3 linked regions of the Drosophila melanogaster genome follow. The protein of the gene in region 1 purifies or fractionates together with the protein of each later gene. This does not show direct contact. Each region holds a gene or a part of one and is shown on either strand. Other genes may lie near its edges.

The links.
Region 2: the proteins of G9a (region 1) and HP1c purify together in Drosophila melanogaster (affinity purification with western blotting, with the first as the bait; one study listed by BioGRID). This does not show direct contact.
Region 3: the proteins of G9a (region 1) and HP1b purify together in Drosophila melanogaster (affinity purification with western blotting, with the first as the bait; one study listed by BioGRID). This does not show direct contact.

What each region holds. Positions count from the first base shown.
Region 1 is NC_004354.4:244,292-249,073, reverse strand, and holds the start of G9a (G9a), read right to left. Parts: upstream 3,097-4,782; 5' UTR 2,225-3,096; coding exon 1,478-2,224; intron 693-1,477; coding exon 1-692. Other genes in the region: CG3038 (uncharacterized protein), read left to right, coding at 3,404-3,662, 3,728-4,635.
Region 2 is NT_033777.3:22,743,833-22,747,223, forward strand, and holds HP1c (heterochromatin protein 1c), read left to right. Parts: upstream 1-1,787; 5' UTR 1,788-1,884; coding exon 1,885-2,598; 3' UTR 2,599-2,667; downstream 2,668-3,391. Other genes in the region: vret (vreteno), read right to left, coding at 26-842, 908-1,318, 1,382-1,692; CG17141 (uncharacterized protein), read right to left, coding at 2,668-3,391.
Region 3 is NC_004354.4:9,079,317-9,083,341, forward strand, and holds HP1b (heterochromatin protein 1b), read left to right. Parts: upstream 1-1,937; 5' UTR 1,938-2,042; coding exon 2,043-2,765; 3' UTR 2,766-3,430; downstream 3,431-4,025. Other genes in the region: CG7246 (uncharacterized protein), read right to left, coding at 1-1,114, 1,179-1,482, 1,540-1,631; APC4 (anaphase promoting complex subunit 4), read left to right, coding at 3,738-3,849, 3,925-4,025.

The sequences.
Region 1 (4,782 bases):
GATTCTAACTTCACACAGGGCGTTTTTGCCTTCCGCCCTCGCTTTTTGGGTGGGGTCTTCTCATCTAAGACAGCTAGTGGCAAGATCTCAGAAGTGACCTCCGCAAAGGAAAGTTCTGCAGAAGGCTGCGGGTGAAGTGCCTCTGTCTTTACCTCCTCCCAAGGGCTTCCATCGGCGTGTAATCGATTGCCTAAACGAACGCTACGTCGCATTCTCTTAACATCTCCCAAGGGAGCGTCACCCAATTCCTCCTGCTCTGTTTTTACCACGACAAGGTCGCTTAGTTGCTGCTGATCTATCGGTTCATCCGGGAGTTTCCTTTTGCGTCCTGGTTTCTTCTCCCCTAATGAATCCTCGCAGGGTAAAATAACCTCACTGGTTTCCACCTCGGCATCGGGTCTTATTTTCCTGGCTCGACCCCTTCCTCGCTTCGGAGCAGGAGCCGAGTTTTCCTCAGGAGATAATGCAGTTAATGACGGTTTGTCCGGTTCACTTTTCAACTGCAGTCTGACAATAGCAGTATTATCGTCCAGTGTGAACCTCTCCAGATGGCTACTACAATCCGTATACTGCTCCGACTTTCCAAATTTTTTATTCTCCACCTGAACATGTTCATCAGTAACTGAAGTGGGCGTGTCTATGGGTCTGGGTGTTCTTCGAGACCGTCGCGTTCCACCGGGCGAAACTTGTACCTGCAAAGTACAGAGACTCATTGAATGTGCCGACTAAAGAAGTACTCAGGATAATATTATATATTATATAATATAGAGACATACTAACTAGAAGTACCAGTCCTCAAAGAAAGCTTCAAATGCCTTCATCGGTTGCCTAGACAACTGTTTCTACCAAACATAAGAGGTCTGTTGACCAAGAGGATGAATGAATGGATGGCTTAACCCTCTTAAAATTGGATGCAATTACTTCAAGTCTTTCTTGTATTCAAATCCCTCTGGAATTATGACAAACTAACAATTGTAATCTAACCTTTTTATGACCTAACCATATTAAACAAACAGCTGAACAAAAACAATGACATACATTAGAATATTTATGTATATAAATATGCGTACATCAATCATATGTACGTATGTATTTGATTAAAACTACACGTGAAACACTAGAAAGAAAAGAACTCAGCAGTCAAGGGCTAACTTCTAAATGAATTAACAAATAGTAACTTCTCCAACATAATACGTCTTTAATTTGTATGACATACAAAAAGTAGAGAAATGAAATAAATCCCTAACCTTTTTTATGATTGGTATGAACCAAAACAATGCCATACATTAGGATATTTATGTATATAAATATGTGTACATCAATCATAACTACGTATGTATTTGATTTAAACTACACGTGAAACACTAGAAAGAAAAGAACTCAGCAGTCAAGGGCTAACATCTAAATAAATTAAAATATAAAAGAAAAAGCAAGAATTTCGAAGCTGATACACACAAACACACACACATTTACTTACATTTTTATCAGCTAATGTCGCTGCTCCTGCCGACGTCGCTGCTCGCATTTGGTTGGTTGCGTCAGCAGCGAGTTTAACGCTAGCAGAACTAACAACAAGTGGAGATGCTACTGCTACCTCAATTCTTGTTGTTGTCAGTGGTTCTGCATTTGCTTCCAATTTTTGTGTTGCTGCTAGTATGGGTTCTTCTTCTTTCTCAGCAGCTTTTTTATTTTGCTGCTCAGTTTTAAAGCTTTCGTTTTCCCATCTCTCTGTCGACGTCGTTGCAATTTCCGTTGCGTGTTTCTCTGCACGCTCGTTGCTTTCCATCTTTACTGTTATGGATGTTGCTTTGCCATTCTGCTTTTTTTCCATTTCGGAGTCTTGTTTTGCGACATCTTGATCGTACTCCATTTCCTTCCTACCTTCTTCCTCTATTTCGCATTTTGTATGTGGTTCGACTTTTTCTGCATTCTGCGCTTCTTCTTCTTCCAGCTTGACAGCGGCCGCATCGACAACATCTGCCAAAAGTGCTTTGATGTCTTCGATTTCCTCTTGATTCCTTGCCTCCTTGCGCTCCTCCTCCTCCTTGTCCTTGTGCTTCTTTTCTTTACTAGCGAACTGGTTATTGGCCAAATTACGCCACTTGAGGGTTTTGTCTTCCGCCAAGTTCAGATTTAGCAAAGTACCACCCTCCGCTGTTGAAGTAGCACAGTCGCTATTGAATGTACTGGACATGCTGTTCATCAGCTCAACAAAGTCCGTCATCTTGCCTTAATTGTCACTATTTGATTACTTTGCGTATTAGTTTCTTTGATTTTCGATTTCAGGAGTCAATTTTCCATCTTTAAGCCAATAAAAACATAATTTCGCTTTCAGAACCCTATTTTTCCCGACAAGATTTGTGCATCGGTCGTACAAGCAGCAGCCTTTGTTGTTGCTTTGCTGTTCTGAATTTGCAACTATTTTGACACCGATATTTTTGAGTATAAATGGGCAAACATAAGGCAAAATAAAACATTTAATCTTTAAAATTTAGACATTAAAATCTGGTTTTTCTGCTTTATATTATGCTCTTTCTTTTTCTTCGTTCTGCCGGCAGCGAAGTCGACTGCGTTTCTTGGTGGTCACAGCTAAATTTTTTGTATCCTCTCTTTTTTTTAATTTCTAGAGAACAAAACGTAAAAATACAAAATTTCTCACTATATTTCTTACTATATATTTACTATAGTTTTCCACTTTTTCGTTCATTAATTGCCCTTAAGAAGCTCAAAATGTTTGCAGAAATCGCTGCTTTGCTGATTAGCTCACATGCTGTCAAATATTACACTCTCTCACATCGCTTCAACGCCAAGATTGTTGTTCTTGTTGTTTCTCTGCCGACGTCGCTGCTACTGCGTTTTTGTTGGTGTTGCAGTCACTGTTTTGAGATTTTGGAATTGGTAAGCTGCAAATTTTTCAACGAATTTACAAATGCTTGTAGTTTTCGTGGCTTTCTCTTTACATAGGCAACCAGTTCAATAACATTACTTTAGAAAAATATAAGAAAAGCACACGAACACACATACAGAACTGCGTTTTTGACGCACGCACACGCACGCACTTCGCGCTGAAAACTGTTATCCGTAAAGAACAGCAACAACACAACAACTAGAGCTGGCATGGCACAAAAATCGATGTTTATCGGACATGGCAACGCTGCTTGGAATGTGTAATCGCTAAAAGAAAATAGGGTGACACGGTTCCCAATTTAGCTATCGCTAATTTGATAGGGCAGCACTGGCAAAGGCGTGAAAACAATTGTTATTAACGCATCTCAATTTATTTTTTTCTTAATATATAATCGTTTTAGGCATTGTGTTTATTAAAGTTTAGCAAGATAGACCAAGCCACATATACTTACAGACGGCATAGTGCGAGGGGAATCCCACGTAGAATGTAAGAAAAATGCGCATGCGCGGACGAAGATTGCTTCCGATTATTTTGTCGCTTCTTTTGATCGTCCTACTGAGTCTCTGTTACTTTTCGAATCACTTGAGGGATTCAAGCCAGTCCCGCAAAAACGGTTTCTTGCTGCACTTACCACTCGAAACGAAGAGGAATCCATCTAACCCTAATACTCCGTTAAGTAATCTTCTGAATCTCACGGACTTCCACTACTTGCTGGCCAGTAATGTGTGTCGAAAGGCAAAAAGAGAACTCTTAGGTAAGTTCTTTGCTTTAATCAACCATTGTAAGGAATCCTTAATCATTTTTGTAATTCCCGATTAGCCGTTTTAATAGTTACTTCGTATGCCGGACACGATGCCTTGCGATCAGCTCACCGACAGGCAATTCCCCAAAGCAAACTGGAAGAAATGGGCCTGCGAAGAGTTTTTCTCTTGGCAGCCCTGCCTTCAAGAGAGCATTTTATAAGCCAGGATCAACTGGCCAGCGAACAGAATCGTTTCGGGGACCTTCTCCAGGGGAATTTCATCGAGGACTATCGCAATCTGAGCTACAAACACGTAATGGGATTAAAGTGGGTCTCTGAGGAGTGCAAAAAGCAGGCCAAGTTTATCATTAAACTGGATGATGACATCATTTACGATGTGTTTCATCTGCGCAGGTATTTAGAGACCCTCGAGGTGCGCGAACCTGGACTGGCCACATCAAGTACTTTGTTATCTGGCTACGTACTGGATGCCAAGCCCCCCATTCGCCTTCGAGCCAATAAGTGGTACGTTAGCAAAAAGGAGTATCCTCAGGCTTTATATCCCGCCTATTTGTCGGGCTGGCTTTACGTGACCAACGTGCCAACAGCCGAGAGGATTGTGGCGGAGGCGGAGAGGATGTCATTTTTTTGGATCGATGACACCTGGTTGACTGGAGTAGTAAGGACTCGTTTGGGTATTCCCCTTGAGCGTCACAACGACTGGTTTTCTGCCAATGCAGAGTTCATCGACTGCTGTGTGCGAGATCTCAAGAAGCACAACTATGAGTGCGAGTACTCCGTGGGACCCAATGGCGGTGACGACCGACTACTGGTGGAATTTCTGCATAACGTTGAGAAGTGCTACTTTGATGAATGCGTCAAACGGCCGGTTGGTAAGTCGCTCAAAGAGACCTGTTTAGCGGCGGCCAAATCTCGACCCCCTAAACATGGTTTTCCTGAAATAAAAGCGTTGCGACTCAGGTGACATCGGTTCAAGGACAAATGGCTTTTCATCCTTTAGCAACTATCATGTAAGGACTTTTTAAAAGGGGGTGATGAAGGAAGAGACAAATATTGGAAAAGGGATATGATACTCATCCTTGCATATATATATATATGCATTACAATAAAT
Region 2 (3,391 bases), on another chromosome or scaffold:
GATGTTTTTTTAAGTTCTGGCTTACGTCCTCTTTGTATCCCAAGTCCGAGACAGACGGCTCAACAGGAGTTAGGATGGTCTTGAAAAGGCGGTTGAGGCTCCTATTAATATCGATCTCGGTCATCACCACGACCTGCATGCCCTTGCTGGTATCGTACTCACGTGACGAGTACTTGATATTAAAAACTAGGGACTGGTCGAGTTCGTACATGACTTCCCTTATGTTGGGACCCACAAAGCGCCTGGGAACTCCGCGTAATTTAACGGCTACGGGATAGCAGGTCAAACCAGCTAAATACGAACTGCATTCATACAGTCTTTCCAGCTGCGTGACTTCAACACTTCCGAAATCAATGAACACTACATAGATTTCCTTGATATTATCCACGTTTAGCACCATGGCGCGCGACATATGTCCCTCGAACTTGTAGAGCACAATTTGTCCGCAGACTGGCGTACTCTGCAGTTTGGAGGCATCTTTGCCCAGCATCATTACCTCCGTGAGAACTGTATAATAGGCGATGTCAATCTGAATGTCCGCCGAGCGCACATAGACCACGTTAGTCTGCTCGAATGCAGTAATTCTCACTTTAGATCCAGACGGCGGCAAGCCGGGTTTGGGGTACTTCCGGCCCACCTTTTCGTCAAGGTTAAGTATCTCACCCTTGCCGCAAGCTTGCTTATGCTGCTCTGCCACATCGGCGAAACAGGAGGCATTGCAGAAGGGCATTTTGCACAGCTTGCAGAAAGTGTCTGTCCAGTTTTGACAAACCACGCACTTGCTGACGCCGTCTTCCAGCAGGCTTTTAGTTTTATCCTCTTCGGTGACAGCAACCGTTGACCTGAGTGATGCAGAAACTATACTCGTTAGCTAATCAAGGGCACGTGACCAGGTGGCTATACTAACAAAGGAATCGTTCTGCCCGAACGAAAGTGCAGAACGACCTGCGGGATTCTGGTCTCATCCTTAAGCTTGTAGATATCATGGCGCTCCAGTGCGAATTCGTACTTTACATTGAGATAGCGTTGAATGGGGTCGTTGGTGGCCAACAATGAACCTCTTTTGTAATCATCTTTGGTGACCAGCGGTGGCCGGAAGAACTCCGGATGATTTTGTCCTCCGGTCGAGATCGGAACCTCTCTGTTGTGATTCACTGGCGTACGTTCAGTGGCCGAAATTGCTGGGCCTGGTGTTGGCATTGGCTCAGTGGAAGTCACCGGATCGCTGGTGATTTCCCGCTCCTTTTGCGGGCGACCAGTGATGCACTTGATCAGGTTCGGGTAACGCTGCACCCGCTGTTGCGCTGTCTCCAGGGATCTGGAAAAAGGATTATACGCTCGAAATATTGAATGACCTGCGAAAGTGCTTGAAGAAACTCACGCGATATTTTCAAAGTAGACAAAGTATACGCGTGACAAGCGGCGGAACTCCATCTCCTTGATGAGCGCCCGACCGAAGAAGTTGATTAGCATCTTTTCGGTCACATAGGGACTGCTTTTTGGAACCACCAAGTATGGATACTTCGCCTGCCTGGTGGCACGTTGCTCCTTTTCGTCCTTTGGCGGCAGCGGGGCTTCCATGATTAGTTTCTGGCCAGACTCGTTAGTGTAACGGTTGCCCACTTGGTCATAGTATTCCCTGGACATTGGATCGAATGCGGACCAATCATCCTGCGAGGATTCGGATTCCATTGCACCTGAGCTTTAAAATTTCACCTGAATTCGAATTGCAAGCGCGTGCGAGTGTGACCGTTTTCTATGCTGTCAGAAGTATGTTGCTATTGTAACTGTTGTTGAAGTCAGCAAACGGTCACACTGGCACTAGTGAAAAAAACCAAGCCGATTTTAAATATTGTAAACAATCTTGTAAAAACACAATAAAAAATGGTTAAAAACGAGCCCAACTTCGTGGTGGAGCGCATCATGGACAAGCGCATTACCAGCGAAGGCAAGGTTGAGTACTACATCAAGTGGCGTGGCTACACGTCGGCGGACAACACCTGGGAGCCCGAGGAGAACTGCGATTGCCCGAATCTCATCCAGAAATTCGAGGAGTCGCGCGCCAAGTCCAAGAAGCGCGGCGAGAAGAAACCCAAGTGCGAAGAGATCCAGAAGCTGCGCGGCTACGAGCGCGGCTTGGAGCTGGCCGAGATCGTGGGCGCAACGGATGTGACGGGCGACATCAAGTATCTGGTGCGCTGGCAGTTCTGCGACGAGTTCGACTTGGTGCCATCGGCACAGATCGTGGAGAAGGATCCGCAAATGCTGATTGACTATTTCCAGAAGATGGCACCTTACTCCCGTCACATTGCGATGCGAATGAAGGGCGTGCCGGAGGAGCTGCGTTTGGCGGCCTCGCGCACCAGTTATCCGCACATTAGCAGTGCGCCCGTCGAAGTGCCGCCGGAGGTGGATCAGTCCGCTGAGTTGGCTGGACATCTTGGTGGAATCGCGCCACAGGTGGACCAGGCGCCGCAGCACCATGCACCCATGGATCTAGCCAATGATACCGACGATTTGGCTAGTGTTTCGTACTCGATTCCCGTGCCCGGCGTTGGCGACATTGCCATCGATGTGCCCATGGCGGAAAATCAATAAGGACGCGAGCAGAATCGACTGTTCAGTCTTTAATCTAAGCCCCTAAGTTTAATTCATACATATGTATAGCTATCTGAAACCACTGGGTTCGTCCAGATTCATGTGACCCAACTGGCCGGAGCGAAAGAAGTGAATGAACTTTCGCGCGGCCGCCAATAAATTTGTCATCACCTCCACGCGTCCGTCGTACTGCTTGACCTTGTGGAATAGCTCCTCCCGATGAGCGTACTCCGCCAGCACGGCGCTGATGTCGTCACTGGGTCCGGAGCTGAGCTTTAGCATCTCCACGTAGTCGTATTTGCGGTGGCTATTCAGCCAGTACAGCAGATAGTCGGCTATCAGATCCTCGCCCACAATATGATCGGGAAGGCAGCCCACCAGGGCCAGTTTCATGCCCATTTCATCATCCTTAATGGAGGGCTGGAGGATGCCGGGTGTGTCGATCATGTAAACAGGCGGATTCTCTTGGATTTTGATGCGTTCGCCGACGGATCGAGTTATACCCGCCTCGGCACCCACGCGTGCGGCGCTCTTCTTCTTGAGATGCACATTTCGCAGCACATTGATCACGGAACTCTTGCCCACATTGGGCACGCCGATGATCATCAGATTGTGCTCGGCAGCTTGGGTGCGATTGAAGCGACTGCTCTCGCTCACGAGGCGCGTTGCCAGGGGCAGGATGTCCAGCACGCCGTTGTTGCGCTGATCCTTGCAGTTGGTGAACAGGATGTGCTGCAGTTCGGGCTGCTGTCTCCTCAGCTGCTGGAGCACGCTCTTCTGCTGTTTGGCGCCC
Region 3 (4,025 bases), 8.8 Mb from region 1:
CCAGCTTGGCGTACTCCTTGCGTGCTTCCTCGACAGACCGCTCCTGCCACAGATAGCGCAAATAATCGGAGCGCAGCTCACCAAATTCCGGCCACGCAGCCTTGCAGGCGAGACCGTAGATCTCATCCAGCCGGCGTGCGCCCAAGCTATCCTGCCGAGTGCGATAATACAGAATGACACTGCGCCACAGCGGCAACGCCTCACTGCCCATGCTCTTCTGGATCTTGTTGAATAGCTCATAGATCAAGGGCTCACTGTCGCTTTGAATGTGCGTGGCCAGAAGAAGCTCGTGCATCTCCACCGATGAATCGTTTTTCAGGGCTTCCGTGAGTATGGTGACAGCTGCCTCCCTTCCACTCGGAGCAGTGCAGAGCATCTTTCTTAATGTGGCATAGTGTTTCACGCCCATCAACTGAGAGCGATGGCCCGCCTGCAAGGCATCCGCTAGGCACTGTTGCTTTAGTATACGCTCCGTCTTTCCATCGCTATTGAGTGCCAGCATGGCATCCAAATACATATTCCACATTTCTGTCGTTTGCAGCTCCTCCACCGCCGATTTGTATACAGTAACGCAGAGTTGAATGCGTCGCTTGAGAGAGCGGCCATTTACGGAACGAGATTTCTTGCTGGCCGGCTCTTCGTCACTGGTATCCAAGTCCTCCTCCTCCAGGTCGCCCAGATGAAAGCCGCGCAACTCTCGCTGGGCAAGCAAATCCCACAGGCCCGGCTCCCGGGGGAACTTCTCTTGCATATCATCGATTATCATTCGCTGCAGCTTGCCCGTCAGCTCCTGATGATCCTCACAGCTTTCTAGAAGCTTAACAAAGTAGTCCAATTGGGTAATATTGGCCATGCTGTTGCGGTAGACCGCCTCCACGCGTTCCAATTTGATGTCCTGTTCCGAGAGCGTATTCTCGGCTAAATTGCGTTCGTTGCTGGCCAGGGCAGCCTCTTTCAGCATAATGTCAAAGAAGCACTTGTTAAGTGCCTCGGAATCCGGATGTCTCTGCAAGCCACGCAGCAGGATGTCCTTGACTCGATCGATGTTGAGCCGATTGAACTCGTACAGCCATAAGGCGGCGTCCACCCAAAGATCCGGCGAGTCGCCATGGTACTGCAAAAGAATAACAACAATGGATAAGTAATCAATGGAAGTGAGCAGGCTGGCAAATACTAACCAGCAGCATCTTCTCGTATATGCCCGCCACCTCGACAGGATTTGACTTCCTGCTGAACTTGATCCAGTTGCTCCACAGCCGTCTGTCGTGGTTAAACTTAGCCAAGGCCTCTCTGTACAGGCGCATGATCCGCGTGGCTATGGAGGCCTTTAGACCGGTGAGTTTAACGTGCATCTTCTTTTCCTTGTCCACGATGGTCATGTGCATGTGCTTCTCGTACAGTATGAAGTCCAGGTAGTCGGTGATGCTCTGGTGGCTCTTGTTGATCTTAAGGAACAAGCGTTCCCGCCTGCTAACGATTTCTCTGCAAGAATATGGATGAAATGGGGGCACAGACTCCAAATTCGTTTGGATTTCTCACCTGACCTGATCCGCTGTGAATACGCTGTAGTTCTTCATCTGCTCGTATTCCGGCAGCAGGCGCTCCTGCATCTCAGCTATGAACTCGGCCATATTTGCTTAGTTTTCTCCTTAATCGTACTTAGTAATATTGTTTATTTCTTTAAAAACTAGCGCACGTGCAACGCAACGGCCGTTTATCGATTGTCCAATTTCTGGAGAGTTATCGCTGACAGGGATGGTAGAAAGGGTAATTTAAAAAAAATATATATATATGTCAAAATTTAAAAATGGTCAAGAGATAATGATAAAATTACAATTGTAAAGTTTTTAAAGTTTCAGCTTTTTAATTAAAATGCGTTTACTGGCCAAGAGAGCGATAGTTGCCGATGGCGAGACCATGGAGTTGCCATCTTGATTTCTTCTTCTTCTTCAATCTCTTTAATCGCACGTATAAATAAGTTTTGGACGCCAAGAAAATAACAAAATTCGCAGTTGGAATAACACAATTAGCGTAAAAGCACAATGGCCGAATTCTCAGTGGAACGCGTCGAGGACAAGCGAACGGTGAACGGACGAACGGAATACTATCTAAAGTGGAAGGGCTATCCGCGCAGCGAAAACACCTGGGAGCCGGTGGAGAATCTCGACTGTCCAGACCTGATAGCCAACTTCGAGGAGTCGCTGAAGAACAACAAGAAGGAGACAAAGAAACGCCTGTCCACCTCCTCCACACCCGAATCCATACGCAGCAAGCGCAAGAGCTTCCTGGAGGACGATACCGAGGAGCAGAAGAAGCTGATCGGCTTTGAGCGCGGTCTGGAGGCATCAAAAATACTGGGCGCCACCGACTCATCCGGGCACCTAATGTTCCTCATGAAGTGGAAGGGCAGCGATCACGCCGACCTTGTGCCCGCCAAGCTGGCCAACACTCGATGCCCCCAGGTGGTCATACAGTTCTATGAGGAGCGCCTCACCTGGCACACGGGCAGCGGCAATGGTAATGGGAATACGAATTCCGTCAATTTGGGATCATCCGGTGGCCTGGGCTCCGTCGGCGGCAGTGGGGCCGGCGATGATACTGCTCCCGGCAGCGTTGGCACCACCGGTGGCGGCAGCAATATAGATGGCGGTGACGAGGAGGATCCCGAACCGGCCAGCCCCATTGGCAGCATCAATCAAGACGAGAATATCAAGCCGGACGAGAGTAGTGAGCTGGACAACGGACAGCCGGATGCGGATGACTAGTTGAGTGGCAGATACAGATGACTGTTTCGGATTCACTCGCTTATGTGGATACATACACACCGGCTTTATACGATATATGTACATACATATTTCGTAGCGTAGCCCTTAAGATAAAAAAATTGGACAAACTGAAGTTCTGGCGTCAGTCAGCGGTAGTATATACATATACATATATACATATACATATATATACATACTTAATCTATAAGTTCAATTGTAAAATTGTTTTTAACATCTACCTTTATTTTTGACCCACATAAATGTTTTATAAGCATATAACATCACAGTGTTAAATACAATTGGCCTAAACTACGCTTAACCTGATCAATGAGGAACGACTCAGACTGAAGGACCACCTTTCTATCTTAACAACTATCCAGCTTTCTAACACTTTAAGTTAAAAAAAAACACATTGAAATTGCCAATATTTTTGTGTGGAAATCAAAAGACGCCAATTGTGCTGCCCACCTAGCGCCTTTATAGCCAGAATTTGAGATTTTTTCCTAACAGGCAGTTATTAAGATCGATTAATTTAGATTTTCCCGATTTTTTCATTGTTTCGCAAATCATTATGTGTTCCAAACAAAAGCTTTTAAAACTATGTAGGTTTGTAAGACTAAAGTAAAGTACGAATAAAACAAAATTGTGCTGGCAGATAATTTGCCATGCCGTGCATAAGTACAAATATCTAAGAAGTTTCAATCATAAATACACATTCTTTCTCGCTGTCCCGAAGTTTTAATACAAATATTTTGTTTAAACATTTGACAAAAATCAAATAAAATGTCAAAAATGACTGAAGAATTGGAGAAACCAATTTGTAATAGCTACTATTTCCGCTCATCTCTGATCGATAGCAGGAATATTATTCGATAGACTGCAACAGGAGCCGGCAAAGTGTAAACTAAAATTATTATATTGAAATATTTGATGCACAGTAGAGACGCCGCGAGCCAATTCTAGCGTGGAAAGATGGCACAAACGAGCTCCATGAAGTTGCTGGGCGCCCGCAACATGTCCTGCATTGTGGAGCGTATGGAGTGGAACAACAAGATGGATCTAATTGCCTACGGAACGGAAAAGGGTGAGCGTCTGCCTCCGAAATTGCCAAGAATCACCAAATAAACTGCCAGTGGGCTTATCCCAATCATGTGGATAGGTGAGGTGGTCATCCAGCGTCTGAACTGGCAAAAGATTGTCACCTTTCCCACGCCCGGCGAGGATGTGCGGGTGCGTTCGCTCAGCTGGCAAATGGACGAG